Linked DNA regions of Kluyveromyces lactis. The protein of the gene in region 3 interacts with the protein of the main gene of each other region in a biochemical or structural test. Links are inferred from orthologs where the notes say so. Each region holds a gene or a part of one and is shown on either strand. Other genes may lie near its edges. The genes, in order: KAP95, NUP159 and NSP1.

Region 1 (10,806 bases), on a different chromosome or scaffold from region 3:
AAGGACACCGTCTCTGGTCTCCCTAAATGAAAGATCAAAATCACCGTTGATTGCTACGAGTGCATCATTGAAACGGACTGAATCAACTGGTAACGCTATGTATAGGCAACCTGCTAGTGGGGATGGTGTTGATGACGACTCCTTCGTGGTGTGGACGGCACCAAGGAAGAGAACGTACGATACGGCAAAATACTTTGCTGATCTGGGCATTACTGTAAGGCAGAGAAATCAATTGCAACAACTACATCCAGGTGTTGTTGCTGACATGACTGATGAAGAAATCAGAGAAAAGTTCCCAAGCGAATATGAAGAATACTTAAGGGATCCATACCATTTCAGATTTTCAAGAGCTGAATCATATCATGATCTTGCTGTGAGAATGGAGCCACTTCTACTTGAGATGGAAAGAATGTGCGGTGATATTCTTATCATTGGTCATGAATCTACTTTAAGGGTGTTATACGGTTATTTGATGGCTTTTTCCTGTTCTGAGATACCAAGACTAACGTTCACCCGTGATGAATTGATTGAAATCTCATTCGGACCATTCGAAAATAAAGTGAACAGGATTCCAATTGTGATGGATTAATTAAGGTTTATATTATGTTCATATAAATAGGTATATCAATTATATTAAAATAATGCAAGATCATAGCGGAATACTTGTGACTCCTAGTAAAGCAAATAAACTGGTGTTAATTGTTAACATTCTATCTGTGGTTTCCTTCCAATTTGTCAATCGCTTTTCGCTTTGATGCTTAGTTGTCTTCTCTGTAAATAGGCGTTGTACTCATCTTTCAAACTAAAAGGAGCCTGGAAGCATGAATCCTTGATCAAAAACCATTGTACAATCCTCCAAGATAAGAACCAGTCTACTAGCCCAATGTATCTGACTATGGTAGAGGCTAAGAAGTGGCATGTTCCTAATAAAGCGCCAATTGAAACACCCACTAAAACTTGTTTCAGAGTGTGATAGCCTAAATAGACGCGTGATACTACTACACCGCTAGAGGCAAGTAACAAACCAAAACTTGCTAGAATTTTATGTGATTTATTCAAGCCACCCCATTGGCACCAGATACGGAGGCCTATATACATGGTGAAGAATCCCATAAACTGGGAATGAGCACTTGGCATACCATAACCTGATCTCACAGAATCCTTTTGAAAAGAACCAAAATCAATTGGCCTCGTTTCCTTGATGATGTTTTTGATGATGTTATTGGCAATGTCATTCACTACATGCCCTCCCGCTAATATAACAGCTTCGATCTCACGAGTAATAATGAACCAGGAGAAGTAAAACACTAATATGCCAACAGGCAGAAGTGAAAGATAACAACAGATGAACGAAAATAGATCATTCGGGTCATATAAAATATAAGTATCATCAAACGGGATCTTTGAATGAATAGCGGTCAAATTCGACATGATTGCCGCTAGTTATGACCGTAATCGTCGATGTTTCCTAACTCCTTCTCTTGCGTCTTTGATCCGTCGTTTAGCGTTGTTATGTAGAATTTAAAGCTTTTTTGTTTCATTCGAGATGTAAACCTCCCAGCAAGTAAACAATTGACAAAAAGGCTGAGAAGGATTGAAAAAATATGGGTACATGAACTGTTGTAAAAAGAACTTATTGATAAATTGTTTAAGGTCTATAATTTAATGCAAATGAATCACTGCATGAAGAGTAGTCTATATAAGGTAGTGATGTAGTATTTTGCTATAAGATGTGAAGTGAAGAAGTTAACGGAAGGTGGGCATAAAGGATCGTTAGAGTGATGTAAAAATGATTAGAAATGGGATGCTAAGAGTGGATGAGTGTGACAGCAAAGAGTAGTGACCATTGTGACATTAGAACGGAAACTCCAGGTTGCTTTAAATCGAGAAAGAAGTTGTATCATAAAAGAGGTAGGTAGAGAAGAGAATAAAACAGAATAATGAGTTATTAAATAAAATACAAGGGTAGAATAATAAGTAGTGCAATAGTGAGAATAAAAGAGAGTAGTAAGTAGTAGAAGAGTAGGGAATAAGAGTAGTAGGAGTAATGAGAATGATAGTAGTGGATCAAAGGAAATTTGAACTGGTCGACTTCTTTATATTAAAAAGGATGAGGGAACTGGCGTCCATAGATCCAATGAACAGTGGTTGGAGTGAATAAACTGTCAAAGGCAGTGAATTATGCAAGTGAGTTGTCTGTGGAAGTCAGTGTATTGTTATTAATAGTAGGCAGGCAAACAAGAGCGAATGAAAAGAATCACAAGTTAGATTGCAACTTTTGTTGTTCTCTTGCCCACCTTGCTGTATCTCTAGTGTTTTGAGAAAAGGATTGATTGGTTTTCACGTCCTTTACAAACTTAATCATCCATGGTTGTGTATAGAATTGTTGGAGCCTTCCGTCTGGGTACATGGCAGCAATATCACCCACTATACCGACTGCTGTTCTTGCAATTGAATCTTCTAATGCAACACTTGGATTATCAGCCAATAAGTTGATAAATTGGAAAATTGAACCTGTGTAAGGAAACAATGCATCTGGTTGGTCGTGTAGCCCTGTTATTATTCCTACGTATGCGTCCAATATTGATTCGTATAATTTATATTGATAATCGAGGGCATCAGAAGAGCTATAATTCGGTTTATAGTTTTGAGCCATGACGCACACGGACATAACTTGGGACAAATACTGTATAAAATCTGATCCAATGTTGGTGGCAATATCACCAAAAACAGAAAGGACTGCAGGTTGTAATTCCTTCTTCGCATCTGGAGAAGAAAGCATTTGCCCAAGAACACTCATGAACGATGGAGCGAATTTCTTGAAGTCATCCTCTAAAGAGTTAGAGATATCAGCAATTAGATTGACGGCAGTGATAGAAACTTGGGACTGTACTTGATTTAACGCATTAACCAAATATGGGGAGAAACTTTCCAAATACTTTTCAAAGTTTTTACCCAACGCAGATGCTAGAGCAGAAATAGCGTAAAAGACATCATCTTCCACGTATGTTGTATCATTCTTGCTCAAAAGTTTCATAAATAGATCCATCAACATATCTGCTACTGGATTAACAGATTGTGGGTTCTTTCTAATCACTGCAGCCAAAACAGATAAAATGTTCGATTGTAATTCATGTAAGTTTTGTCTATCTTCAGCTGTTAATTGAGCTTCATCCACTTGCATTGTTTGTCCAAGTTTATCCAAAACAAAAGTGGAAATTGAGGTAGTAGTTTCCCCGACTTGGTCATTAGCGAACTCTACTAAAGTAGTCAAAGCAGAAAATACAGATGCTCTAGCATTATATTCATTGTCTGACCTGTTTGAAGCTTCAAGCAATGCGCTAACAAGAACTGGATAATAATTGTATATCGGAGAAGAAGGGGTATCAGCTAATTGTTCGACAAGGTTGATAATCGTCCAAGAACAATTGGTAGCCACTTTTGGATGGTCTTTTAACCCGATCAAACAAGCGTTTACAACATCAGAAAGATGGTCTTGAGGATCTATAGCAGCAACGACTGAGTCTGCAATTCTGCCGATGCACCATGCTACTGTTTCCTTCACTTGCAAAACTGGATCCGTTATTAGGTTGAGGATAGGTGGTAACGCTTGATGGACTAAACTAGTCAATTGAGTTTTGTCAGGACCGTCCAATATAGAACCAAAAGCCATCACAGCCGCTTCGCGTTGTCTCCAATTGTCACTGGTGATGTTCTGTTCAACGAAGTGCAAGACAGGTTCTACTACGTAGTTACCACAGTTTTGAGCGAATAGTTGCAAACAAGCACCAGCAGACATTGCCACGTTCCAATCATCATCATCCGGATCTTCATTTTGCTTTGTTAAAAGCTGTAATAGAGTTGGCACCACTTCTTGGATGGATACTAGAGCAAAATTGTAAGATTCCAAGCCTGGGTTGGAGTACTGTGACAGTTCAAAAGCAATATCAATTTCTTCTTCACAGATGGTAGACCAAAATTCAACGGCCATTGCTGCCACCTTTTCATTGGATGATTGTATAGTAGCCACGGTCAAAGCGAATAGAGCTTGTTCCATGTAAGGTTTCATGTAGAAATAGTATAGTGACATGATTTTACAAAGACAACCAAATGCGGCCGCTTGAATATCTTCATCCGAAGCCTGGGTAGCTTCACATACGACTTGCATCAAGTAATTTCTTTCACCCTCACGTTCCATATTATTCTTAATGAATGCAAGCGAGTCAGCCAATGCATTAAGCGCGGTAAGTCTGACAATCTTAGAAGTTTCGTTCGACTGTGCACCTTGAACGATAGCGATCAAAATGTTGTTCGATTGATTGATTAAAGTTTCATCACTTTGGTCTGCACTTTCACAGATATAACCCAATGTCAACAAGGAAGCTCTCTTAACATTTTCTGGTTGTTCTTGAGCGGTATTATCTACCATAATCTTCATCAACTCTGGCCATTGATTCAATGGCAATTCGATCTCTGCAATGGCAGCGATCAACTGAGCTGAAGCGTTGGCAACACGAGTCTCTGGATCAACCAACGCTTGTAACGCAAACTGCTTAATATGATGTCTAGACTCTGCATCGACTTGCGTAGACCAACGTTGAGCAAACTGCTGGGCCTTTGTTGGGTTCTTCGAAATCAATTCGTTCTTCAACGTCAAACCTGCTAGAATTCTAGCTTCAAGACGAACGGACACATCGGCCAAGATCTGAGACAAAAGTCCAGCGAATTGCAAGAAATTATCGTTAGATAATTTCTTCAACGTCGTCTCCGCTTGAAGACGGACCGTTGGGTCCGGAGTAATGATAATGTTTTCCAAAAACTGGGCAACCTCGGAAGCTGACATAACGATTTGTAAAGGGTATTATAACTTACTAGTGTTTCCAAATCCTAGCGGGTCGTTTCAATAGTCAGTCTCCAAAATTATAGAAATAAAACAAGGAACTGCAACAGCAAACGGCAAATAATAAATTTTCACACTTGGTTCACTTTATAAAAGTATCAGTATATCGAATAGCGACGTTAGATCTTCCTTTATTCTGTAATTATTCGGCGCCTACTAACGAGTTTCTGAGTATGAACTCTCGATCAAGTGTCTCACGAACCGTTCTCCCTTGCACAAGACACCTAAACGCAAGGATACAAAGTGAAATGTTTCCCTGTTTCTTGGATCCTAAGTTCTTTTGTTTACGAAATGTTTTCTAGTTGTTTTTGTTTGATAAATAGATGTGAAGGAAAGAAATTCTTTGAAGCTTGGGAATAAGCAAAAAATAAGAAAAAGCTGTGTAGCATCTTGTAAAGCGCGTTTGTGCTACGATTTGGAGTGGAATCAGATGGAAAGTAAAAGAGTCTGTTACCCGGATATATTGCCTAGAAAACAATGTATGAACCCCATAAATGAAGAGAAAAATAGGGATCGTGCTCCTGTTTAACGGAGGGTAACTTATATACTGCTAGGGAAGAAAGAATTTTTTGCCACTCAACTGCAAATAGCCGGGTAAATAGTTGGCGTTAGCTTGTTCACGTGACTTGTAATTCGTGTTTCAAACCGAGTAATAAGGGTATTATCATTAGCTATATGGATCAAGGATAATATATATGTAGATATAGATAGTTAGTTAGATGATGCAATAACTTGCGAGACCATCCAGCTCTATGGGGCGTATTTCTTGATCAATTGGTCAACCAATTCGATGTACTGTTGTTCGGCATCTTCTTGGGAAGTGCCCTTCAACAATTCCCAGGCGTCCCACTTGTAACGGTCCTTCAAGTTGAACATGCCTGGTTTTTCCTTGGTGTTGTCACCGACGGTTGCTTGCTTGTATAGAGCATACAATTTCAACAATTCATCGTTATTTGGAGTTGATGGCAATTCATTGACAGCTTTAGCCTGCAGATAAATGTAAGATGCGGTTAGTATGATTATTAAGGGAAATCAAAAGCCATTGCAACAACGATTCCACATACCTTTTCTTCGAATAATTGAGAAACCATTGTGTTTTGAGTGAGTGTCGATATCTGACGTATTGAACTAACACTTGTCTTTCACAAATCCTTCGTTTAGTACCATGTGTAAAGCTTCTCTTGATTTTGTGCATTAGGTATTTATATGTTTTTTCTCACTGAAAACAACTTCCTCCAGTTTTTGCTTACATGGCACGAAACTTTTCATAATGAACGGCATTAGTATTCAGGTAAGATCTAACAGCTGATGCGTTTTTTGCTCCAACAGCAAACAGAAAGGACCTAGAAGCGTCTATTTAACTCGACTAGCTTTCTTATCAAACTGTCTTCATTTATTGTCAAACCCAAATGATTTATTTTGGGCAGATTGAAACTTCATTGGTCAAAACAGCTATAGAGCATTGAGTGAAACCTCTACTCGTACCTTCGATGAGCCAGTTGGGTTTCAATATCTAGTCACGTGTGTTTACTTAAACTCTCTTCGCTTTTTTGTCTATGTCCACTACCCTGATTTCGGATTTGGCTGGTGCTTTCCTTTTTTTCTCTGAAACCAGAATTACATATTTTAAAATCAATACAAATTTAAATCACCACTGAGGCCGTTGATAACAACCTTGATCCAAACTGATCTCTGTTCCTTTATCATCAAAATATTCGGATACGTTCGTAGAATAACTTAATTTCGATAAAAAGGAGTGTGTGACACTAGTTGAAACTCTCTTTTTTTTTTTACGCATTTGTTATTGACTGAGCTTTTCATTATTTCATCTTTTGAGTACTGGTTAAGAAGGTACCACGCAGCTGAAGGCAAAATATAAACGATGTCACAGTTGAAACCTTTCCCATCTTATGGACAAGATAACAGTAATGGCGGTGCGTCTGGTATTGAACCTGTCAAGGATCACAGAAGAAGGCGTTCTTCCAGTATAATATCGCATGTGGAACCGGAATCCTTTGAAGATGAAAATGACCAACAGATGATGAACAATATGAACGCTAATTGGGTGAATCAGCGAGGCGCATGGATTATCCACCTTGTTGTGATTGCACTGCTTAGACTCTTCTTCAATTTATTACCTGGAATGTCTAACGAATGGTCATGGACCTTGACTAACATCGCTTACGTGGTTGGTTCCTATATCATGTTCCATTTGATTAAAGGTACACCTTTCGATTTCAACGGAGGAGTTTATGATAATCTAACAATGTGGGAACAGATCGATGATGGGGTGTTGTATACGCCTACTAGGAAGTTTTTGATTACGGTACCTATCGGTTTGTTTCTTTTGTCAACACATTATTGCCGTTACGATTTACAACTATTTTTATTGAACTTCGTTTTAACTACCTTCGTAGCTGTGGTTCCTAAACTACCTGTAACTCACAGGCTAAGAATAAGCATTCCTGGTATCACAGGACCTGCTCAAATCAGCTAAGAAAGGGAGTCAAATGAATGAATCAAACATTAAAAATAGAAAGGAAAAAAAACAAAAACAGAGAGGCAGGAGATTCTCTACCTGCCTCTCCGGTTCACATCAGAAGCGATAAAATATCTCATGTTTTTTTCTGTTGTCTAATTGACCAGAACTGGGAGAAACTCGCTTCGTTCATATCGTCATTATCATCATCATCATTATTATTATTATTTTCATCATCATTATCATCATTATCCTGTTCCTATTTAGACAGGAACAAAAAAACTAGAAACTCCGTGTACTAATTGGAATAGGAACTTATAAAGAACATTAGAATGCCAATCTTAGTATAATCAGCAACAGGAAAAAAAGAAACAAGATTAACCGTTTAGTGACTAAGTATGACATTAAATGAGCACCTGCCCGTTATTGAACCCTTCCATCCTGAACCGTGAAGATCAATACAACGGAAATTCAGGAATCAAATAGAAATCTTATACCGTTACTCTTTTTTCGCTTCATTTTTTTTCAAACTGGGACATACTGCACTTAACTTTCCCTTAATATTCACCACAATGTATTTATCTTTTATACATACATATAGTGTTCTTCAAACTTATTTCTCATTTAAACATTGAAAATGTTCACAAGTAGTCGTCATATTATTTTGCTATGACAGTTTTTAAATCAGTACTATATTTCATACATTATATTTACAGGATGTAATACTTTTACTAGAATTTAATTCATGAAAGAATAAATTCTCTGAAATTCATGTGCTTTTAGCAAGGACTTCACTGACCTTCTTGATTTGCTCCAAATATTGTTCCTTCTTTGCCTCTCTAGCCTTCTTATTCACTAGTCTTCTTTTAAGGAATCTAGGAATGAAAGGTTTTGCAGTTTCCTGGTATGGTCCCAATACACCATCGAATGCCTTTGAAGGTTTGTTAGCGTCGGATCCTAGTCTCATCCTATCGTTTCTGTATTTTTCCAATTCCTTTTGGAACTCAGTATTCCATGCACTCTTGTCCTCAGGTTCTGCAGGCCAGATAAATGGTTCTGCCATATCGATAGTCATCTTCTTGATTTGAGGACCACGGTACCTGGGCGACACCGGCGTAGCACGAGTGTATCTGGCATGCAATAACTGTGTAGTAACGTTCAACGCTCTTAAACCATAAAGGTGGAATAAATAATCTCTTAAATCTAATTTGTTAAACGATTTAGGAACGATGAATTTCGCTTGATATGGAGTGTGTTTAGCATTTGGTCTTAGTAGAATAACTCTCGCTTTAGGAAAATAGAGCTCTGCACCACCAACTTTAAAATGTGGTTTCTCAGTTTTAATCGCTTCACGAGTGTACTCCAAGATTCTGCTTTGTACGGATTGACGAGGTCTCTTGAACTGACTGGCTTTGACTGCTACTGTAGATTCCGTCTCTACCGCAGTAGCAAGGTTTCTCAAACCCTGTTTGAGAGATGGGAAAAAACGAGGCATTTGTTATAGATATTGAACAGAAACACTGGCGCAAAGATTACTACTTCACTTCGCTCTGCACTCGCAACTGAAAAGTCCCAAATAATCCTGTTCTTGTATGCGTCTCTTAGAAGCCTCATCTTCATACAAATCTTAATGTTAAAATCGAAATCATTTCAATGAAAAGCTTTAAAATACTCATTTTCCATGTTAGTAGATATTAGAAAAGCTGATGAGTACACATTTTGGCACGAATCTAACGTAGAATATGTCGTACAAAACTGGAGAGCTCTGGGATGTTTTAGAAGAAAGATTTTTTATTGGAAAAATCAGAGCGTAGGAAATGATCTTCACGTGACCTGATATATTGAAATTTTTGAATAAATGCTGTTACCCGTTTGTGACGTGGGAAATGATGTTCTCTTTATAGTGAAGAAAAAAAATACTCTGGAAGCTTGAAATTGAAATATTATTGTTTTGAGAGGCGAAACGTAATTACCGATTGATCGTTAATAGGAAGATTGGAAGAGAGAAGAGAAAAGAGAGTACCAGTCGGCTTAATCATCTTCTGTCAGAGTGGGGTTTGTTTCGGATTATTGGGTAAGTCCTTAACTCTTTGTATTTGGGGTGTGTTTTCTTCTTTGTTTGACCAGTAATACACATTTCTTTTCAGGTTGCGAGCAACACAACAAAGAGTGTTATTCTGTACTTTAATAATAAGCACGCACGTACGCATTATTTGCCACGGTTGTGAGGTCAGTGTAGATTATTAACGTTTGCAATTCTTAATACAGACCAAGGATGACTGAATACTATGATGAAGATCCATATGGGTACGATGAGGAAGAAGCTGCTATTTCAGCAGAAGATTCGTGGACTGTTATCTCCGCTTTCTTCAGAGAAAAAGGTTTAGTATCTCAGCAGTTGGATTCTTTTAACCAATTCATCAACTATACGATTCAGGATCTTATCTTGGAAGACAGTACCTTGATTTTGGAACAATTAGCACAGCATACCACTGAAACGGACAACATTTCCAGAAAGTATGAAATTTCATTTGGTAAGATTTATTTGGCCAAACCATCCATGACTGAGTCAGATGGTGTTTCTCATGCGATGTATCCGCAGGAAGCCCGTCTCAGAAACTTGACTTACGCATCAGGTTTATTTGTGGAAATTCAGAAGAGAACTTATCAGGCTATTGATATTCCAGGTCGTGATTTGAAATACGAAATTATCACTGAGGAAAGTGAAGAGAATGAGGAAAATAATAAAATTTTCATCGGGAGAGTACCTATCATGTTGAGATCGAAGTACTGTTTGTTGGACGATTTGACAGAATCTGATTTGTATCGTTTGAAGGAATGTCCGTTCGACATGGGTGGTTACTTTATCATTAACGGTTCAGAAAAGGTTTTGATCGCTCAAGAACGTTCTGCAGGTAATATTGTCCAAGTGTTCAAGAAATCTGCTCCTTCTCCAATCTCACATATCGCAGAAATTAGATCTGCTCTAGAAAAGGGCTCTCGTTTTATCAGTACACTTCAGGTCAAGTTGTATGGTCGTGAAGGTTCCACCTCTCGTACCATCAAGGCAACTTTACCGTATATCAAGCAAGATATTCCCATTGTGATTATTTTCAGAGCATTAGGTATCATTCCAGATGGTGAAATCTTAGAACATATCTGTTATGATGTCAACGATTGGCAAATGTTAGAAATGTTGAAACCATGTGTGGAGGAAGGGTTTGTTATTCAGGATAGAGAAACAGCTTTGGATTTCATTGGTCGTCGTGGTACAGCTTTGGGTATCAAGAAGGAGAAAAGAATCCAGTACGCCAAAGATATTTTACAAAAGGAATTTTTACCTCATATTACCCAATTGGAAGGTTTTGAAAGCAGAAAAGCTTTCTTCTTAGGTTATATGATTAATAGACTATTGCTTTGTGCTTTA
Region 2 (10,806 bases), on a different chromosome or scaffold from region 3:
CAAGAATATGACTTATTCACTGGAGGGCAAAAGGGTGATATTGACCTAGAATATATCACAATGTTCAACACTTCGATTAACGTACCCCTGGACAGATTGCCTGATTTCGTCAATTTCAAGAATCATCCTAACGAAACCCATGAAAAGCTGGCCGTATGATACGGAAATTGCATGCTCAGCTATTCCTATATAACACTTGTTTGTTTGATTTTCAATAGTATACTTCTACAAATATAGATTCTGACTGTTTTGGTACTTCAATCCATCGCAGCTCTCATGCTGCATAGTCAAATATTGTTGTTTATTTCTTCATGAGTCATCTCATCCCATCTTCTCAAAGTCAGATTTACAGCTCATCCAGACTCTACAGGGAAAATGAACATTCATAAAAAGTGAAAAAATACGAGAACGTTTTAGACGTACAACTCACAGATTAAAGTTGTCAATTGATGGGAGAAATGTACCTCCTGCAGCCACTACATACTCAGGTACAGCGCTAAGAGTGTTCAGGTTTTGTTACACGAGATGACTTTTGATATAGCTAAAGTTGTGAGGCCAAAGATTCTGAACTTGGAGCCATATCGCTGCGCTCGTGATGATTTCCAAGAAGGTATCTTGTTAGATGCCAATGAGAACCCATACGGACCTACCATTCAGGAATACAATGTTGACTCTCTGTTGCATCGTTACCCAGATCCGCATCAATTGGAGTTTAAGAAACTCCTTTCTGATTACCGTAACAAAACCTCTATTTTCAAAGACCAGAACTTGAAGCCTTTGGATGCTGACAACCTATGTCTTGGAGTTGGATCTGATGAAAGCATCGATGCCCTTATTAGAGCGTGCTGTGTGCCAGCAAAGGAAAAAATCTTAATTGCACCTGCTACGTATGGAATGTATACCATCTGTTCTCAGGTTAACGATGTTGAATACGTTACGGTACCATTATTGTTATCTGAAGAAGACAAATTCCAAATCGATGAGGAAAAGATCTTAGAAACTTTGCAAAACGATCCCTCAATCAAGTTGGTGTTCATTACTTCACCAGGTAATCCAACTGGTACCTTTATCGATGTTAATCGTATTGAAAAGATTCTATCACAATGGCAAACGGGTCTTGTTGTTGTAGATGAAGCATACATCGATTTTGTTGAGGGTTCTGATAAGGGGTCCTTGGCACCGCTAGCAACAAAGTACGAAAATATTGCTGTTTTACAAACTCTTTCTAAGTCATTTGGCCTAGCTGGAATCAGACTAGGAGTTACGTATACATCTAAAGCTATGTCAAGAGTCTTGAATTCGATGAAGGCTCCTTATAATATTTCTTGCTCGACTGCAGAAGTTGCTTTGAAAGCAGTACAACCAAAAAACTTGAAATTGATGGAAGAGAATGCTGCCACAGTTAAAAAGGAAAAATTGAGAGTGTTGAAGGAGTTGACTTCTTCTCCATATGTTTCCCAATTGGGTGGCCTAGACGCTAATTTCATCTTATTAAACATCAACAATGGAGACAACGCTTTGACTAAGAAGCTATATGAAAGGCTTGCCGTTGAATCAGCTGTTATAACAAGATATAGAGGTAATGAGCCTGGCTGCGCAGGTGGTTTAAGAATCACCATTGGTACTAAGCAAGAAAATGATGTTCTAATTAAAGAGTTCAGGAAACATCTTGCTTTAATAATGGCTTAATTAAGGTTTGAAAAGGTGGATGCAAGCAATTATTTAGCGTATTCAACTGGACCATTTCGTTCTACACATTACGTAGACAGTTTAGATGAGAAAAAATCTCCTAATTGAGCCCTTGTATATAACTCCAAAGTAGTTTCGAGAAGGGGCAACGATGTAGAAGCTGTGTTAATTAATAGATTCTCAGGTTCTAGTTGGTTTGGTTTTTCTGCCGACAATTTTAACACAGAAATTTCTTCTCTTAACGACTGAATCTCTGTTAACAAGTTTTCTCTGCCAATGCCTCCGTTTAATGACAATTGCTGCACAGCATGCAGTGCTTCCTTGGTATTTGTAAGATTGTAAAGCTTTAGTACTTGAATGGATTCTCTAATTTCATCCAGTTTCGAGGAGACTTCTTCAAGTTTCCTCTTTACCATAGTTGAGATATGATGCTGACTCCAAGAAAGTTTCCTGTTGGAATGATTAGATGTCCTGTTGGAGAGTTCAAGAATGTCATATTGGCGTTTTAGTGTCGTGATTAGCATGTCGAAATTAGTTACCGCAGAAGAACTATCTGCTAACCTTTGGTAAGACTGTTTCAATTCGTAGCTTTGTTTAGCCTTGGAAGTAAGGATATCCAAAAGAGTGGCCGCCTCACCAAGTCTCCAGGAGGAGACAATTGGGACAGTTTTCTCAGTACGTTTGAATAAATTTTGGGAATGGTCACCTATAAACTTCCCAATGTTGTCGATATTTGAGCGTAACACTTGAATGTTTGCTAAAACTTGAGCATTTGTTTTTTCAACGGCCTGTACAACTTCATCGGAAGATATTGTACTGAATTCTTTAAGTTCAGCAGTGGAATAGAAAGCACTAGGCATTTCAGGAAGATACCTTTCAGCTATATATTGCTCATCATTTTCAAAGGCTTGTAAAGTAAAGTCTGCACTTTCTTTAGTAAGACTTTGAGTGGAAGCGCTTCCTACAGGTACACTCGCTTGCACATGCTGTGAAACATATTCTTTTGTAGTAGTACCGGATGATTTACTCATTTTGACTGGAGGATAATCTACCACAACTGGTGAAGAAGAGACGCTACCAGATTCTGGACTGACAGTTGAAGATGGTACAATTTCTTGATCCTTTGAAAGTGCTTCCTTTTTCTGTTCTGAACTTGCGAGGTTAGTAGAGGGAGTTGCCACTTCGGGGTCCGGCTCATCACCAGTTTTCTGTTTTAATTCTGGTTCTGGCTCTCTCATAACACTTTCGTTGCTAATAGAATTGACATTAGACAGTGGTGAGGTAATTTCAGAACCATCCTTCTTGAGATTGGCAAAGGAAAATGCGGGAGCCTTTCCTGTATCTTTGGATAAGGAATTTGTGAAGCCCGAAAAAGGTGAGGAATCTTTGTTTTCAACTGCTGTGGATTTCATGAATGGATTGGCAATATTCTCCGTTGAGAGGTTAGCCGCTTTCTTTATCCTATCGGTAAAAGAAGCAACAGACGATCTGGTGTCATCTTCCTCAGTAACGTAAGACGCAGCAACAGGGGTTGTGCTCTCCGCCGATGGGAAAGATCCTTCAGTGAGCAGATCACCTTTGACCTGCTTATCATTTCCTTTGTCTTCTTCTTGCTTTTTCTCCTTTGATACATCTTTAGTATCATCTTTCACTTGTTCTTCATCTTGCGCTTGCTGCTCCTTCTCCTCTTCCTCTCCCTCCTCCTTTTCTTCTTCTTCTTCTCCTTCTTCTTCTTCTTCTTCTTCTTCTTCTTCTTCTTCTTCTTCTTCTTCTTCTTCTTCTTCTTCTTCTTCTTCTTCTTCTTGCCCATCTTTGGTCTCCACTTTTGCTTGTTCTTCGTTGCTTTGCTCAGCTTCATCCTCTTCTATGTCACTGTTTGAGTTCAAAACAGTTGAAGAAGGTTTTGAAGAGGCTTCGATGTGTATATCAGATCTATCATTATCATATATTTCCCTGTCCTCTCCGTATAAGGAATCACTTTCATCGGTAGAGGATACAATGTTAGATTCGATATCGTCTTGATCTTCTGAAATGCTCGAATCATTAGCTGGACTAGGCACTTCAGATTGATCGTTTTCGATCGTCGAATCGCTGACTTCTTTCGAATTCAAAGAATCTTGAGTGACGGATGGCAAACTGTGGTTAGCTTCTGATATAGATTCACCGAAACCAGTAAAGTTGAACGACTTAGTGTCTTCTTTTTTAGAATTCAAGTGGCCGAATGGATCAGAAGTCTGAGTTTCGAATGGATTTATGGTCTTTTGGTCTGTAGCAAAGGCAGAAAATGGTGAAGACAATTTCGCAGATGTAGCGAATGAATTCGGTGCAGGGTTGGTAACAGCGCTGTCGCTGCCAAACTGAGAAGTTCCAAAGAGCGATTTTCCAAAAGACGACTCTGATGAAATTTTTGTGTTGGTTCCGAATGGAGAGGTAACATTAGCTCCTTGTATTCCGAAAGATGTGGAGCCAAAACTTGGCGTTCCAAAGACAGATGACGTCTCTGCCTCTTCGGACAAGGGTGAAGTGGTATTAGTTTGAGATTGGGTACCAAATGATGTACTTCCAAATGTTGGTTTGCCAAACGCTGGTTTACTGGGCGCCGATTGGTCAGATACAGGTTGGCCGAATGCTGGTTGTCCGAATGCTGGTTGTCCAGACGTTGGTTGACTAGATGCAGGTTTACCGAAAGTTGGTGGACCGAATGCTGCTTGGCCGAATGCTGATTGTCCAGATGTTGGTTGACTAGATGCCGGTTTCCCAAACGCTGGCTCCCCGAATGCTGGTTGACCGAATGCTGGTTGACCGACTGCTGATTGTCCAGATGTTGGTTGACTAGATGCCGGTTTCCCAAACGCTGGCTCCCCGAATGCTGGTTGACCGAATGCTGATTGTCCAGACGTTGGTTGACTAGATACAGGTTTGCCGAAAGTTGGTAGACCGAATGCTGGTTGACCGAATGCTGATTGGCCAGGTGTTGCTTGGCTAGATGTTACTTGGCCAAATGTTGCTTGGCCAAAGGCAGGTTTTCCAAATGCAGGAGATGAACCAGATGACAGCAAAGGATTTTGAGAGCCCTCAGACTCAGCATTTGTACTATCCGTCATGTTCTTCGGAGTGAACGAAAAACCTTTAGCGAAGGAATTTGTAGTTTCAAAAAATGACGATTGTTCAGGAACCTTTCTTACTTCAGTTATTGTGTTCTTAGTGTCTTGGGGAGAAATTAAAGTAACTTTTTCCTTTTCCATTGAAGAAGAACCACTTTCTATTTTATGAGATAAGATTTCGAAAGACTGTACATACTGAGTTTTGGTTGGTTCTAGCGTGAAACTCGAGTTTTGTAAAGCAGAGTGATGGAATAAAGCCCAACAAAATAGTTCCCCAAGATTGGTGAGGACATATAATATCGGTAGATTGTCAGCAGCCTCTACTCCGGAACAAGGCTCATACACAGTACCACTGGAAAATACATCTAGGGCCATCCCAATGGGTTGTGTATCATTATCTGTTTCAGGGTTGATTGGAAGAATTGCACAAGCAGCATCTTGGTCCGGTTTATACATCACGTTCGGTGTGGCAATCGATAGCTCTGATGCACACGATGATCCTATAACGAATAGATGTGGTAGCTGCTGAGCGAGTTGATACAATGTTTGAGAGTAGTATGAAGGATTTCTTTTGACTGTTGAATAGGGAGGCGCGATATCCATGGAAGGAGTAAAAGATTTAGTATTGACATTGACAAAATATACGGTTAAATCGTACATGATATCTTCTTCCGAGGCATCGACCGGTTCGCCGTACGATACGAGTAAACTGCTTTCTGACAAAGCGTTTATGGACAACGGTTCGTTAGGTTCATCGAGAGATGGCTTTTCAATAGAGGATGTGACGTTAAACTGTTCATCCAGTACAGCTATAGAACCATTTTTGTGTAAAACATAAAGTTGATGTTTCAAAGTGTCAATTGCGATGCAACCTGTGATTGAATGTAACTGTTCGGAAGAATGCTTTTGCGATAAGGATATTTTAAACACGACATTAGCGTTACTCGCAAGAAGTACATTCCCTTGGAAAATTACAGAACAAATGACTTCATTGACACCATTACCGTCCCAGTATTGTTCCCAGGCGAATTGGTCCAATTCGGTAACCCATACTGAACCATCTTCTAGGACCGTAGCCAAACTCTCTGCCACAAAAAAAACGCCCACTACTTTCGCCGTGAACTCTTTCGTATTTAGAGTGATGAAGGACTCATCACGGACAGATTGCAGATCATATACAGACACAGTCTTGGAAGAAGCAACAGCTAGTAATTTTTTCAACGGATGTATGGAAGCATTAGCCAGTTTTGAGAATGGCAAATCCTCATTGAAGCCTGGAACAATTTGTTTAGAGAATAAAAACTTGAATCCCAAGCTCTCAGTAGTTTCAACATTCAACGCATCAACCACAGAGGACGTCATTGATTCTGTATGTGTTCTTTTATCTGTGCCGACAGTAGTAGTTTCAATCCGTTAGTGTATTAATATAAACCTCAGCTGCTTATTAATTTGTAAACCTTGAATTTCAATGGGCATCAGTTGCAATGTTCAGTGCTTGTACAGGTTTGAAGCTTTTTGATGATAGCTTTGAAGTAAACAAAGTTCCAAAAAGAAGGAAATTATCAATCACGTGATCCGGAAATCAGTATGAGGTTAGTGTTCATGTTTTATTGTCTTTACTATGACATGAATGTTTTGAGATATAAAATTTTTTAGATGGTCATTAAAGAATACGTATTTAGTTAGGTAAGTATCTTCGAAAGAAGTAGGCGTTAACATTGTAATTGAGGCCATATCTGTAATGAAAACAAAGCGGATATTGTTGTTCTGAAAAAAAAGCGAACAAAATGAAAGGCAATATATATATATATCGGTATCAAATGGAACGCCAAGAAGAATGATACTTTAGTTGAATGTGAATCATTTCAAAATTGATAACCTAGGCTGGTGATCCATTGGACAAAGCAAAATAACATAAACTTAGAAAAAAGTAACACTTCTTTTTAACACTTGTGTAAAATTACTAAGTATGCATTTAAGCAGCGAACGATAGAGACCAACCCAACTTGTGGACTGGTTCAGCCAACTTCAAAGCGTCGAAAGAAGCACCAATACCTAGAGTGACACCTGGTCTCAATATTTGTTGGTAGGACAAGGCGACGATACCGGAGTCAGCAACCTTAGCCTTAACTTGAGAAACGGCGTCCAAAGCGTACTTGGAAGCGAATTCAATGTTGACATTAGAGCCAGCTTGAGGGTTCAAAGCAGCCTTAGCACCGACTTGCAAGATTGGGGAAACCTTTTGGAAGAAGGAAGCGGTGATCAATTGAGCGTTGTTGACGGACAAACCAACGGAATAAGCACCAGAAGCGTTGTAACCCAAAGCCAAAGCGTAACGGGAGACGGCACCAGCAGAGATGTCATAACCAACTTCAGCACCACCAACGAAACCTTCGTGAGCCAAGGTCAAGTCACCGACGAAGGATGGACCCTTCAACAAATCGAAGAAACCTCTAGCAGCAAACAAAGGTTGAACAAAGTTAACGTTCAACTTAGCAGCCTTAGAGACACCTGGAACACCAGAAGTGATCAATTCAGTCTTCAAGCCTGGAGTCAATTCAGCCAATTCGATCTTGGTGTCCAAAGTGTTGGCGTTGTTCCAACCTTGGGTGAAAGTCAAACCAGTAGACTTGTCAGAGGCCTTAACTTCAACGTTAGCAGCAATTGAGCCATCTTTTGGAGAAGTTTTACCCTTAACAGTGAAAGCAACACCGTTTGGAGCAGTGGTCTTAACGTCAACAGAAGCTGGGGTAGCGTGGAAGAATTCCTTGTTCAACAACCCATTGATGTCCTTGGAAATATCAGAAAAGAATGGAGGAGCCATTGTAAATCTTTGAAGTTATTTTTTGTTAGAGGGCGGAAGCAAGCTTTCGGAAGTGCGATTGATCTAAATGTGAATCAATTAGAGTTCAGTCAACCGCTAAAACCAAGAAGGAACTACTACATAACACAAAAGCAAGAGACAGACACCATTTTAATTCGGTGTGCATCCAAGATTTTTCGCAAATTTCCCAAAAAAAAATATCTCGATCTCTTTCATTTATATATAATATCGATTTTATAAATACAAATAATGACAATGTGAACTTTTCTCGATTTTTCACAGTTTTCAACAAAAATACCGTGTAGCCAGAAAATGTAAACATTGGAAAGCACAAGGCTTCCCAAGTGAAAATTATAGGGGACGAGAGATTTAATACAGTGGGAACGCACGTCTATAGTGGGGTAGCGGGGACTGCTATACGCAACTGGAGAGTAGCTCAGTTTTTTGCCTGAGGTGTCGTTTTAAGAGCGGATGTCGGACTAACTCACTTTGAGATTCTTTACGCACTTGCTCTCGAGCATATATCTTGTAGATTGTACATACTGCATACAGATATCAATCATTTGAGGCTAAATAAAAATGGCTATATACAGGTTATTGATGGAAGTGTATAGAACACGTTAATTGGACTATCATGTTGCAATTATTGATAGTTTGGGTCTACACCCCATGTGCTTTGTAGTCTTCCCTATTTCAGTTTGTCTTAATCTATCACTCCGGCACTCTTGAGAGCTCTACACAAAAACCGAAAGAAAATTAATTAAAAAAGAGACCACGTAATGATTGACAATTGGAGGCGACTCATTTGCGCCGGATATATCTGGAATCCTTTCTTGCATTTTGATTTCCGACTTTTATTAGTGCTGACTCGAAGAGACACGCAGTGGGACCGGGGTGATGACGTTCGCATTTAGAGTCACGTGAATATATCGCTATGTACGCAACAATTTTTTTTTTCTTCCAACAGAATTGTGTATGTGTGCATCTCTCCTCTTTCTAGTTTGGTTTTCACATGGCGGAGGCAAGATTCTCCACTTGGTGTGTAGATTTTCTTGTTAAACAGTCACGTGAATATCCGAGAAATCGGTCCTTTGTCTCATATACCGGAAAAACGAAAAGTTATCATGAAAACTAAACTTCGAGAACAATAATTAGGCTTTATAAAACGAAATTCCACTTTGAGTTAACAATATGAAAATGCAGTTTCCTAGTAGTAGAAAATAGTTAGATATACCTTGAAACTGAAAATGATGTGGTAGTATTGTCTTTTGAAATATAATGGCGAATAGCATCACACCAGTGACAGTTCACATTCGCTTTTTGACAGTTGACGACTGCATCTGTGTTTGTTTTCCGAAGTCATGATGAAAACCTAAACATCTCCCTGTTGCCCTCTAATCCTCTGAACGGTATTCTTGCATGATTGAAAAATACGTAGTGTATTTTTCAGTTCAGAACTTGTCGTTTGAGTCTCAGGAATATGTACCATGTAGAGAAATATAAAGCAAAGATACATTACATTGTGGACCAGCTCAAGTTTTCTTGACAATACTGAGGTTACGGAAGATAGTGTTGTGGATGAGGAATTACTTTTGACCTGTTGGAATCAATCAAAGTTTTCGAAAGAAATGCTGAATTAATTCATTCGAAGTTCGAAAGGATATTTCACACCTCACTATCGGAGTTCAAAAATACAACAGGGGTTAATCAGTCTTAAAGTATTCTTTCAGTCTTAGAATAATGTCCAAGATAATCTTTGTTTTGAAGTACTTCCTTGGAGCTCTCATGGAGTTTAGCTGGGGCAACGTCTGTTGTATTCCAAAAAAACTTGAAACGGTAGACAACAACAATTGCCACAAAAATACCAACTAGAGATAATGGTTTATTCTTGTGAAAATATATTTATGCTGTGTAGTATGAAATTCATAGCATATGCTGCAAGACATAACCATTAGTGTTTCGACCTAAATAAATAAAGGTTTAACGATATTCTGTCGCTCTCCCTGCTAAAAAAATCTAAGAATATCATCTCTACTTAAAAAAGCTACTAGCGCACATCTTACTTATACTATAGGCTCTAGCCAGTTAGGTCGACAATTCGCTGGTCAACAATATATATATATATATTTATACAGGAACCTAAAAGTTGTCCAATCTCAATTGGAGCTGCAATCACGTGACCATTCGGACTCTGTATCTTCTTTTAGTCAAATCTCCCAAAATGACAAGAGCAAGTCCTTCTAACTGCTGCCATTCACGGGAGAGAAAGAGGACATCTTGGGAATAATAATACTCTTTTATTTCGCATATTTCTATCCCAACTAGGCAATCAGATCGGCACTACAGACTTATTCCCCAGATCCCAACTATTTTGCTTCAAAGATCATTGCTTACAAAAAAAGATGGAAACCCGAAATTCTCTTTTAGTTTTTGTTTCTGGTAATAGTTACCACAACTTTCTTCAATAGCCTAACAACTTAATATTTCAACATATATAAGATACTTATCCATTAGAATTAAAAGTGTATGACACCAAGAATTATTAGCAGGTGACCGAATTCAGAGAAAACAGATAGTAACAGACTGCAGTTCTAGTGCTATATCCAGTTTTGACAATAATTTTTGTCCGTCATTTAGTTGAGTATCTAATAATTATCACATAACCTTGTTCCTCGTGTTAGTCTGATTTTGATACCATGGTTGCAGGTTTGGGGTCAGAAGATGACGGTAATAAGATGATAGTGGAAACGGAACTGGTTCAAACGGAGAAACAGAACATACTTCCAGTATCACAACAACCTTCACAACAATTTGATAAGAATGGCATCGGCACAGATACTGAGAATTCGACGTTAACGCAAAAGAAACTACTTAATAATACGAAAAGGGATACCATGCCTGGCTCTCCAACGAGAAAGGAAGGTCACGATAGAATAGATACACACGATCTTCACGATCTCCATGATGATATGAGCGCAACTCTGAAACCACATCAAAGTCAGAATAGAATAGCATCACTACAGCTGCAAGATTCAACACATCAAAGTATCACTAGCCATCAGGAAAAAGAGGGAACGCCGTTATCGCACCAACACACCAATCCATTATCCACTCATGCGTTGTCATCGACAGGGTTAAGGAATAAGAAAAGCAGTTTACTCATCGACTGTGCTGTGGACGGGGCCAGGG
Region 3 (10,746 bases):
TACTTTTACTGTTGATAATTTGGTTCCATTATTAAAAATTTGAAGTAAATAATAGTAAATAAAATAAAGATATACTGAATTTACATCAGTAGGGCTGATCTAGTGATATCATCAACTGGAAGCTACGAAAGCCTGTACTGGTCGAAGTACTGTGTGACATATAAATTCAATAATGTGGGCACTTTCACCCTTTGCCTCCTTGTATGAATCCATACAGAAAGCTGATTTCCGTACCGATTTGTTCAATGAGTTTGTATCTGATTTGAAGACGTTGAATTTGACTGATAATGCTAAGAAAAATGCTGCTAAGAGACGCGAATTGGAATCCGGAGAAATTAAGCTATCCGATGGATCAGTGTACAAATTGAATCAGGAGTTCATAATAGAAGTAATCAAGATTTCCGATGAGCTAGATCTTGATGAAATTGTCTGTGCGGAACAAATATTAACTGCAGAGGACTCGTCCCAAGCTGTGGACCAGGACATATCTTTGCATAACAAGGGTCTACTGATATACTATCTCAGAAGACAATATATTTTACAAGTGGTGGCATACGTTTTGAATGCACTATCCTCTTCAGATGATGTTTTTCAAACACTTACCAGTGATGGGACTCTTTTAAACAATGTTTTGCAAGCATTCAACACAATCCATAAAGAACTAGAGGATGTGAAGGCACTTGTAAATAAGGCACAAATCCTTGATAATTATGATGTGGTTTCGAAACAGAATATTACGTTCAGAAGGGATTTCTTGATCAAAGAATATGACACGTTAGGTACTGTTCTTTTCGGTTTGTCCAAAAATAATCTACTCTCTAATGCAACGGTAATACAAAAGGTTATTGACCATGTTACATCGCTAGCCTCTGATGATTTTTTTATCATATTTTACCTACCTGCTATAATAAATACTTTCAAAAATTTGGCATCCTTCTCCTCCAGGGATGTTGAAAGTTTGCACGCCCAATTCCTCAGAGATTTAGAATCCGAATCAATATACACTAAACCCACCAAGGTTGTTCTCATCTTCATCTTCTTAACGTTCTTTATAGGCTGGTGCAAAGCTGAACCAACTACAAGAGCAAAGCAATTCGACTTCGCTGTTGCTGTAGACCTTCCAATGACTTCTGCAGTCGAATTGGGGGCAATCGAACAGTTGATGGTATACGCAGCAGAAACTTCGATGGTAGAAGCAGATAAAAGCATGGAGTTATTCTTTGACATACGGTCCTTGCTAGAGAAGCATATTCCAAGAATGTCACCAAAACTCTTGTTAGATCCAGAGTACTCAACCGCAGTAAGCACCAAAACTTATGTTGATGACCCTTCTACCAAATACTCAAATTTATCAATTTTCGACTATGGACTCGATAGCTTTCTATCCACTTTGCATGACTTCTTTCAAGCTTTTATTACAGACTGTGCATTCCTCTTGACAAAGATAAAAAATGCTGAGGAAGATTCTTTATTATCCGGTGAGGATCTCTATTTGGATGACATCTCAGCGAAGGCGGACCTAGAACGATTTTTCATTACCATATACTTCTTTTATGCATCTAGACCGGAATATTCAAGCTCTTTCTGGGATGACAAAGAGTCTAATCTCTATGGTTTCATAGAATGGGCTGCAAAATGTAACGATACTTTGATGAAAGCATGCTTTTACTTGATGATTTCCAGTTTGTCATATGGATCTCAAAATTCTCATAATGTTTATCATTATGTGGAGAGTAATCAGCATAGTTCCTGGAAATATATTGCACATAATATAAACGAAACAACCGAAAAAATTACACAACTTGAACAGAAGTTACAAGATCTCCAGCAAAACGGCGCAGCAACAAGTGAGATCAATGCGGTGGCAATTGAAAGTGGGTTAAGTGAAGAAACAATTATCCTGTTGTCTTCGTACTTTACCTTGGTTGAATCTATTGCATATAATGTTGATGAACAAATAAAATCGCAATTAGCTAACACATTCGAAGACATCCTCTTCAGTTTCCTCAAAGTAAGAAGTCCTTTACTAGGTGCAGCGCTAAAAGTATTAAGTCATTTGATCCCTAAGGAAGAAACTCAAAGGTACGGTTACTGGACCAAACTAGACCGACTCATTTTCAAATCATACCCGTTAGATTCAACAGATAGTTCCTATATTGCAGCCTTCAACTCAATTTTCACTGGCTACTCCGAAGTCTTAGGATTTTTGCAATTGTTCTCCAGATTGGTGTCTGTGGGAACAACTAATCATAGTAATGAGTATATGAAGTTTGGTAAACTAAGTTTTCCTGTGAATATTGGATATGGATATAGAAAGACAGGTGTATGGCCTTATTATGAGTATATTTTGGGTAATATTTTCTTGAATGATGAAAAGGCAGCTACCAAAGACCAGCAAACAGTCAAGAACGTTTTGGTTTTAGATATTATCAAATCTTCGCTTTTATCATTTGACTACAGCGTTATTTTGAACTCCGTTTCCGTCGGTTGTAATTTGGACTCGTTTGTACAGACTTCCGACTTCTATTCCTTTGTCCAACAATCCAATGCTACTGCCACAATGAACTACTTGTACAACGAAAAAGTGTTTTCAAAGATCTTCAAAATAGCCTCTATAGGAATAGATGAGCTGGAGAGTGAACTTGGGCGTATTTTGAAGCCGAAGTCGTTGATGGTCAGGGATTCACTATATATCATTGATATTATGCTAACACACGAAGGAACATATGCCGAGGAATTTTATCCTATAGTGAAACGCTGCTCTGATAACTCGGTGTTTCTACCCAAAAGTATCAGCATAAGAGGATTGCGTTTCTTCTATGACGCTATCTTCTTCAATCTTCCATTGACAGCTCACTTCGGTCTTTATGTTGGTAGCACTAATTTTGACATTTCTTTGAGCAGTATTAGCATTTTAAAGAAGTTAGCGACTAAATTGGACTCGGGAAATCCTAGAGGTCTCCACAAAAGTATATTATTGACGGTATTCGATTCTGTTGATGATTCTGCAAGAATAAAACAAAGCTTCATTGATCAACTAATGTCGCCTATTACCGATGAATGCTCATTGAAATTAAAGGTGAATATTCTAGATTTCATTAGCAAAAACTTGTCTTACACAGATCACAACACCACCATATCACATTTTCTTTTAGGGTATCAAGTGTCGAATACTATTTCATTGGGGCCAGAATTAGATACATTCATAAATTCTAAGACTTCGTTACTTCAAACAATCGTAAACCTTATGATCGAGTCACTATCATGTATTAACAGTCTTAATGTTGAATATGCTCCAATGAGGTTATGTGCAGAATTTATGGAAATAATTACAAAGCTTTGCCGTAATCCTTTGACATGCAAAATAACTTTGGATTATCTGTCAACTCTGGATTTAGATAAGGTTCTTCTAAGCATGGACCCAAAGGTGTCTGTGTTGTCTCATTGGAATGGAGAGCCTTTCAACGGAGATTTTGACAAGTACACCTCGAAATTTTTAAACTCGCCAGCTATCGGATCTCTTCTTTATTTTTTGAAATATAGAAGTCTTCTAATGCAATTTCTAAGTTTGAGTGTCCATACTTTCTCCTATGCGGCCAATAATTCAAAATGTGATGACCTCATGAAAGCTCTTGTTTCTAACGCTATACATTCAGCGACAATCTTTTCCTTTTTGGATACGTTAAACTTGAAATCTCAAGCTCCTTCCACTGATCCCTTTAAAGACATTACTATTTTGGAAGGCTTGGATCTCAGCCTGGACAAAGTTGAAAAGAATTCATCGATAAATGGATCTCTTTATGATTTTTCGAACCTGGATTCCCTGATTGAGCTTAAGAAACGGTCTGAAACTTACCTCTCGATTACATCAGGTCATCCAATAGATGCCCAACAGCTGGAAGTCGGCTCTGAGAAAGAGATCGAAATAATTAAGAAAACATCCACCGCCTTCCTTGCCTATCAGGAATTAGCAACATTTCAACTTTCTGGTCTTCATTCATGGGTTCAATTGGTGCAGATAATTGTTGTTGACAGTAAACTTTCTCCAATTCAAAGATCCAATTTTATATTGGAAGTATTTGAATTCATTATTCCTAAAGTAAACGAATATGTCGAATCTCGCCTTCCATATTCTGAGGAACTAGTTTCCCTTGCTGTCTTCCTTTATGAATTATACCATGAGGATAGAGTTGCCATCGATAATGAAAAAACCCTAGACAGTAGGTTGCATACGCTTTTCAAGACATGCATAAACTGTATATCGACACCATCGGCGACTCTAAGATCTGATTTTTATGTGCTTGGTACAAAGTATTTGAACTGTGTCCTAAAGGATGAAATCCTTTCAAAGGAGGTCCTTCAATGGCTGAAGTTTTCCAATGAATCATTAGTAGAGACTGTTTGCAATGATGCTATTATGGGGCAAGGTGCTAATAGAGTAACAGGAATATTGTTTTTGGATGCTTTAAACCAATTAGCAAGTTTGAACAAAGTAAATTTTGTTTTGGAATCACTTGTCAAAAGTAATATGTTATTATTGATTATAAGATCTATCAAAAACACAGATGAGGTATTAGAGACTCAAAATGAGAAGGTGACCTCTTACACATTATTGTATGAACTCACAATTTTCAAATGTGTGGTACACTTCCTGACAAAATTGGCTCAAACAAAGGCTGGTTCTCATGCTTTAGTTCAAAAGAAATTGTTTGAAACTATTACGTCGTGTAACTTCTTGAAAATGGATCCAGATCTTGGACTAGAATTGATGTTTGAATCTGTTGGTGCTGCAACCTCCGGAAAAATCCGTGCGAATCTAACTTTAGATAACCCTCTCCAGATTACATCATACGAAAATGGTATTTCGCTCTTTGAAATCATTATACCCATCTTCCAGTTGATTGCGTCAGTGTTACTCAGCTCAGGAACATCAAGCCAATACGTTTTCCGTGAGGCAAGAAAATTGATATCTCATTTCAAGCAATTGGTACAAGGCGCATTAAAGAGAGATGCATTACTTGAAAAGAATGGAGTTGAAACCAAACCAGAAGGACTTGAAGAATTTGTTCAACTCATCATTTTGGTTTGTACACTGACAAATTATTCTGGAGCGCAATAACGATCAGGGCAATATGGTTACATGATTATTAGATTGAACCAGCAAAGTACATAGGTTTCAATATATAGATTATCATAGTATTAACCTCAAGGTCAAAAAAAAAAATCATTTCTGAGACTTCGTCAACGTCTTGAGTTTTCCTTCAAGTTGCTGAGAGTTGTTCTCTAGCGACTTAAGAGCATCTAGGTGAGAATTTAATAACTGGATCAACTGAGCGTTTTCTTCCTTATTAGGGAAGCTTGAGTTTGTAGCCTTATTGAACGTTTCGCTAACTTCGTTTATTTCGGTAATCAACGAGGAAAGATTTAGTGACAAAGAGTTTAGGTTGTCGTCAAGCATTTCCACTGTATGATAGGCTTGTTGTCTCTTTTGATCATTCGTTTTGCTTGTGTTGTTATTGTTGCTCGAAGAAAGCACCTCAGATAGCAGATCTTCAGCCTTTTGTTCATAAGAATCGAGGAAATACTCAAGTTCAGATTGTTGTCTTTCGATATATGAGAGAGACTGATCTACTCTATTTTGAGATTGTTCAGCAGTTAATGTATCAGAGTACAACCGACTTATTTGTTCACCACCTTGCATTAATACTTTGTCCCACTGATTTATCTTCTTGGCGTAACTCTCAAAGTGATCTGCGGTTCCAGAAAGTTGGGAGGTCCATTTTGATACTAAGTCATCCAAAGTCTTATTGTCGAGGGAAACAGGTTCGATAGTAACGGGTTTAGTAGATGTCTTTGTTCCAGTTGTAGTTTCCTGCTTAGCACTTTCAGTTGTTTCTTTGGTAGTATCCGGTTTCAGACCGCCCAAAGAAAAGGAAGGAGCTTCAGTTTTCGTGTCTTTGGAAGCGGTAGTTTCCGCAGGTTTACTTCCAAAGCTAAAAGCAGGCTTTGAATCAACCTTAGTGTCAGATGTTCTGCTATCGGCAGGTTTACTTCCAAAGCTAAATGCAGGCTTCGAATCGTCCTTAGTATCAGATGATTTGCTATCGGTAGGTTTCGCTCCTAACGAGAATGCGGGGCTAGGATCGGCTTTATTTTCTGAGGTGTTGGACCCTAAAGCAAAAGATGGTTTTGATTCTGACTTTGACCCGTCAGTCTTGTTATCGAACGAAAAGGCCGCTTTGGAAGCTGACTTGGTATCTTCAGTCTTATTGCCAAAAGAAAACCCAGGCTTGGATTCGGTATCGTCAGCATTCGTGTTCAAGGATCCCAGAGAAAATCCCATTTTAGAGGCAGGTTTAGATTCTTCTGTTTTAGATCCCAGAGAAAATCCACTTTTGGTCTCCTCTTTACTGTTGCCAGATTTAACATTGAATGCAAAACCCTGTTTACTTTCTGGTTTGTCATTGGAAGGTTTAGAGGGTTCAGGAGCCACTGGTTTTGATCCAAAGCTGAAGGCTGGCTTACCGGCTTGTTCTGTCCCAGAGGGCTTTGCTCCGAAAGAAAATGCTGGTTTAGCATCTGTAGGCTTGTCCTCCGTTTTTGAACCAAATGAGAATCCTGTCTTTGCGCCTGAGGTTTTTTCTTCAGGTTTTGATCCCAGACTTAGCGAAAAACTTGGCTTGTTGGCATCTCCAGCGGCAGAACCAAAGTTGAACCCTGAAGTAGCACCGGCTGGTTTTGTATCAGTGTGGTTCCCACCAAAGAGTGATGTGGCATTTGTATTAGGTTTCGAGGTTTCAGTTGGTTTAGCGGAAGTTGTGAAGCTTGATGTTGAAGTTGTATTGGCACCAAATATTGGTTTAGAGGCATTGACACTCGGAGTTGTAGTCATTGCATTATTTCCAGATAGTCCGAAATTAAAAGCGGGCTTTGCATCGGTCTTTTGTTCAGGTTGTGTACCAAATGAGAATCCACTCTTGGGTTGAGTGTCTTTAGCCTGTTGCGACCCGCCAAATAGCGAAGAGCTACTTCCTGCTGCTCCTACGGAGCCAAAGCCACCAAATGTTGGTTTTGCTGCGCTTGTATTCGTGGTGTTGCTGTTGTTATTGTTCGCATTGCTGGCAGCATCGTTTGCGTTAAAACCTCCAAAAGCAGGTTTTGGTGCATCGCCTGTACCAGCAGTTGTATTAGAGGCACCAAACGAAAATGGCGAAGCTGCTGGCTTGACTGCATTAGCGCCCTGTTGTGTATTCATACCAAAGCCTCCGAATGCAGGTTTTGTTTGTCCATTGTCATTGGTAGTGGTCGCTCCAAACGCTGAAAATGCATTTCCCTGCTGCGTATTAGAGCTACCAGCAGCTGAACCGAAACTTGCAAAAGCATTGCCACTGGTCTGGCCTCCAGTATTGCCAAAGAGAGAGGAAGCACCTGTGCTGGTACTGGTGTTTCCTGTGGTAGATACATTTTGTCCTGATCCAGTACCGGCAAACAAATTGGAATTGCTGTTCCCACCGGAAGCATTTCCCGCTGTAGAAAAGTTGAAAGTGGGGTTTGAATTGAAACTCATTTTGTTGATTAACGAACCCTTGTAATTGTCCACTTCATAGACTAGCTATGCCTATTCAAACCAATTCGTTTGCCATTATGTATACAATTTTCAGTTTATTGTTTAATCATATCGAGTTTTATGATCTTTTCGATTTTAGAAAGAAACAAGGTCCAAAAAATTTGAGTGAGGGTAACCTTGATATGATGCATATACGGATGGACATATAAAGCTTGACTAGCCAGAGTAAGCTCTGTTTTAAAGTTTATTTCCTAATATTATAATGAATGTATAGTAAGATTTATATAATGTACAGAATTCAATCGGAGTAAACCGAGCTTGATGGCTTTTATGTCTTTCGATTCTCTCCTCCAATATCAATAACGGTTAACAATGGAATAGAGTTTTCCTAGGAACTATAAATCACATTACCAACTTTCTGGGTAATTTGATCCAAGAGTAAGGCATCATATTTGTGTTTTTGATCATCTCGTATATCTCAATGCATTAGGTTAAAGTTCCTTTTGAAAAAAAAAGAAAGAGAGGTGAAAGTAGGGGCAGACGTATCCCCTCGAATTAGTTTGTGGTTTTCATGTCTACAATTCTCCACGTTTCTTAGACGGAATGTAATTTGTATTCTCTTTGGGGGCTATGTGCATTGGGTGCTGCTATGTTGAGCCTGGCGAATTATTTGATTTCGCAAGCGTGGTCTTTCTTGAATGTGCTAGAGTGTCTAAAACTTCGTCAAACGCGCGGTCCATTTGTTCTTCTTGCTGTACTTCTTCCTCGCTACTATAATCGCTATCAGAATACCCATCACCTTTCTTCTCCTGCAGATTGGCTTCAACTCCTACGACCGTATTAGAACTTTGGTCGACAGAGGAACTAGAAGCAGTTGGTTTTTTGTCATCTGATTTCTTCTTGAAAATTTCGTCAATGGGAATTCCTTGATTGTTCAATTCATCAAGGAGTGACATAATATTAGATATATCTTGTTTCAAAAGGGCGTCTTTGATATATGTTCACTATCAAATCTTTCGCCAACCCTTCTCAAAATATCTGTGTTAAGCTCTTGGCCACGTTTGTTAGCGGTACTTTGTAGTTCATTCATTAATCCTCTACTTTTCCTCAAAACATCACCTTCTTCTTTCAACTGTTCTTTGGCTTCGTTCTGCACTTCACCGCTCGTGTATGTTAGTGCCACCTCGTCATCTGCAGGTTCATATGATTCTACAGATGGTTGATGGAAGGGTAACAAAGCGCTGTGGCCACTGGAAGCATATTTCGATGAAGAAAGTAAGGTGTTTAGTTTCTTCGGATAAGTTAAAGCTGTCGCAGATTGTGAAGTTAATGGTGATGGGCTTTCACGGTCATTTGACGTGGCTGCATTATGGGAATGGTAACCTGCGCTTCGCAAACTCTTCTTTGCTAGTAATTTCAAGCCCTTTTCAAAACTTGCGTCAATAAAGCAAAATTTAATAAGAGTTTCTTTACCCTCCGTACTTAGCTCTCCATTGAGTCTCAATTTGAATAGTTCTTCAATTGCAGCATGAAGTTTCGCACGTACAGTTTGAATACGTTCCAAGAAGTTTGACACTAATGTATCATAATCACTCCTGGTTGAAGAATCTTCTGTTAGTAACCTTCCAAGCTCTTCTTGTAGTGACTTCAATTTTTCATGTCCATCATCGCCACCAGATTTATTAATTTGTTCGAGCTCTCTCTGTGTATTTCTCATACTATAGACAGAGATTTTTTCTTTGATTCTATCAGGGACATGGGCGTAGTCAATATCCATTGTGATTATAGTCTTGGAATTTTTTACAGCAGCAGCCAATGCACTGGCAGATATTATATTCAAATTGGTTCCCAATAGAGAAATATAATTTATGCGTTGACACATCGGCAAAACTTCGGCAAACTGCATTACTGCCGTTGTGGATAGGTTGTTGTTATCTAAGTGCAAACGAAGCAAAGACACAAACACTGGTAAAATAGCTGTCAACGTACGCATACCGTATGGGAATAATCCTGGGTTATTGGATAAATCTAAAAATTTCAAACTATCACAATAGCAAAGACCATTGAGCAAACTCAAAACCTCGTTATCCTCAGATTTTGCACCTTTAGGAACCGAAAGATTTGTAGAGTTAAGAGATAGGAATTTGAACACATTTTTTCCTTTCTTCGTCTTCTCTATTACGGCAGATATGAACGGTCCTAATTTTCCATTCAAATCATTGTAACCAACATCAACACCTTGTATTTTAGAGTTAGTCATCCAGGTTGCAAGGCATTGACATTGCTCTAAAGTTAAGTTATTGTAGGCCAGGCCAAGTCTTAATGTCTTTGTCCAAGCAATATCAATGAAGTTTTGTAGTTGAACTTGATTCATGAAGGCACCTGAAACGATCATTTCTTCTAAGCCACCTTTAGCTGCCACGGCCGCACTAAGCAAACTCCAGTTCATATCAGATCTGTTCTCCATATTGCAAACCATTCTAGGAACAGTTGAGCCATTTGATGATTTAGATGGCTTTTGAACATTAAGCGCTAATCCTGGAATCATGGTAACGTCGAGCGAGTTTAGGCTTTTGCATTTGGATACGAAATATGAAAGGACCTTCCACCCGTCATGATCTACAGGAGTGTTTCTGAGTGATAATTTTTCGAATTTATCCTTATATGTGATGGAACTCAAAATAATTCTCAACATTTCCACGCTCAATGACACACCGTCTAAAGATAGACATAACACCGGAGCGATACTCAAAAAATCACTGAAAGAAAGCACTTCTACTTTAGAAGGTTTGGGGTTTCTTAATTGTAGGAACGGTATCGGTTCCGTTGATCCCTTTTTCAACTGCTTCATAGTAGCAGGGATCGGAAGAATTTCCCTTAGATGACAACAACGAGTATACACAACATCGTGAGGGATCTTTATATTTCTGGGTGGTAGAAGTTCGTTTTCATCTTCAGAAGGTACCAAGGCAGAATCCGATGATATCATGGATGCCAATGATGTGCTAGAACCTTTTCTCCTTGATGTCATTGGCTTGTCAATGGTAACTTTCTCTAATGTATTGTTGACACCAACCTCTTCTTCATTATTTGTCACAGTTCTCTGTAAATCTAGTGGAGCATCTTTAGCTCTGGCCTCTGCCGCAGCTTCTGCTGCTGCAAGTTCGATGTGACGACGT

Evidence for each region.
Region 1: the proteins of NSP1 (region 3) and KAP95 form a complex in vitro, tested with the Saccharomyces cerevisiae proteins (2 studies listed by BioGRID). The link is inferred for Kluyveromyces lactis from reciprocal best matches to the Saccharomyces cerevisiae genes NSP1 and KAP95.
Region 2: the proteins of NSP1 (region 3) and NUP159 form a complex in vitro, tested with the Saccharomyces cerevisiae proteins (2 studies listed by BioGRID). The link is inferred for Kluyveromyces lactis from reciprocal best matches to the Saccharomyces cerevisiae genes NSP1 and NUP159.

Annotation. Positions count from the first base shown.
Region 1 is NC_006038.1:504,204-515,009, reverse strand, and holds KAP95 (karyopherin beta), read right to left. Parts: upstream 4,844-10,806; coding exon 2,258-4,843; downstream 1-2,257. Other genes in the region: KLLA0_B05709g (bifunctional fructose-2,6-bisphosphate 2-phosphatase/6-phosphofructo-2-kinase), read left to right, coding at 1-589; CAX4 (dolichyldiphosphatase), read right to left, coding at 736-1,431; long-chain fatty acid transporter ACB1, read right to left, coding at 5,651-5,887, 5,965-5,991; sphingolipid homeostasis protein ORM2, read left to right, coding at 6,783-7,397; MRP20 (mitochondrial 54S ribosomal protein uL23m), read right to left, coding at 8,149-8,874; DNA-directed RNA polymerase II subunit RPB2, read left to right, coding at 9,655-10,806. UniProt on the Saccharomyces cerevisiae protein: Importin beta subunit that functions in nuclear protein import through association with the importin alpha subunit, which binds to the classical nuclear localization signal (cNLS) in cargo substrates.
Region 2 is NC_006042.1:327,073-337,878, forward strand, and holds NUP159 (FG-nucleoporin NUP159), read right to left. Parts: upstream 6,156-10,806; coding exon 1,758-6,155; downstream 1-1,757. Other genes in the region: OCA2 (Oca2p), read left to right, coding at 1-159; HIS5 (histidinol-phosphate transaminase), read left to right, coding at 526-1,689; porin POR1, read right to left, coding at 6,769-7,617; VAC7 (Vac7p), read left to right, coding at 10,314-10,806. UniProt on the Saccharomyces cerevisiae protein: Functions as a component of the nuclear pore complex (NPC).
Region 3 is NC_006041.1:1,036,048-1,046,793, forward strand, and holds NSP1 (FG-nucleoporin NSP1), read right to left. Parts: upstream 7,568-10,746; coding exon 5,225-7,567; downstream 1-5,224. Other genes in the region: NUP192 (Nup192p), read left to right, coding at 173-5,119; MHP1 (Mhp1p), read right to left, coding at 8,544-10,746.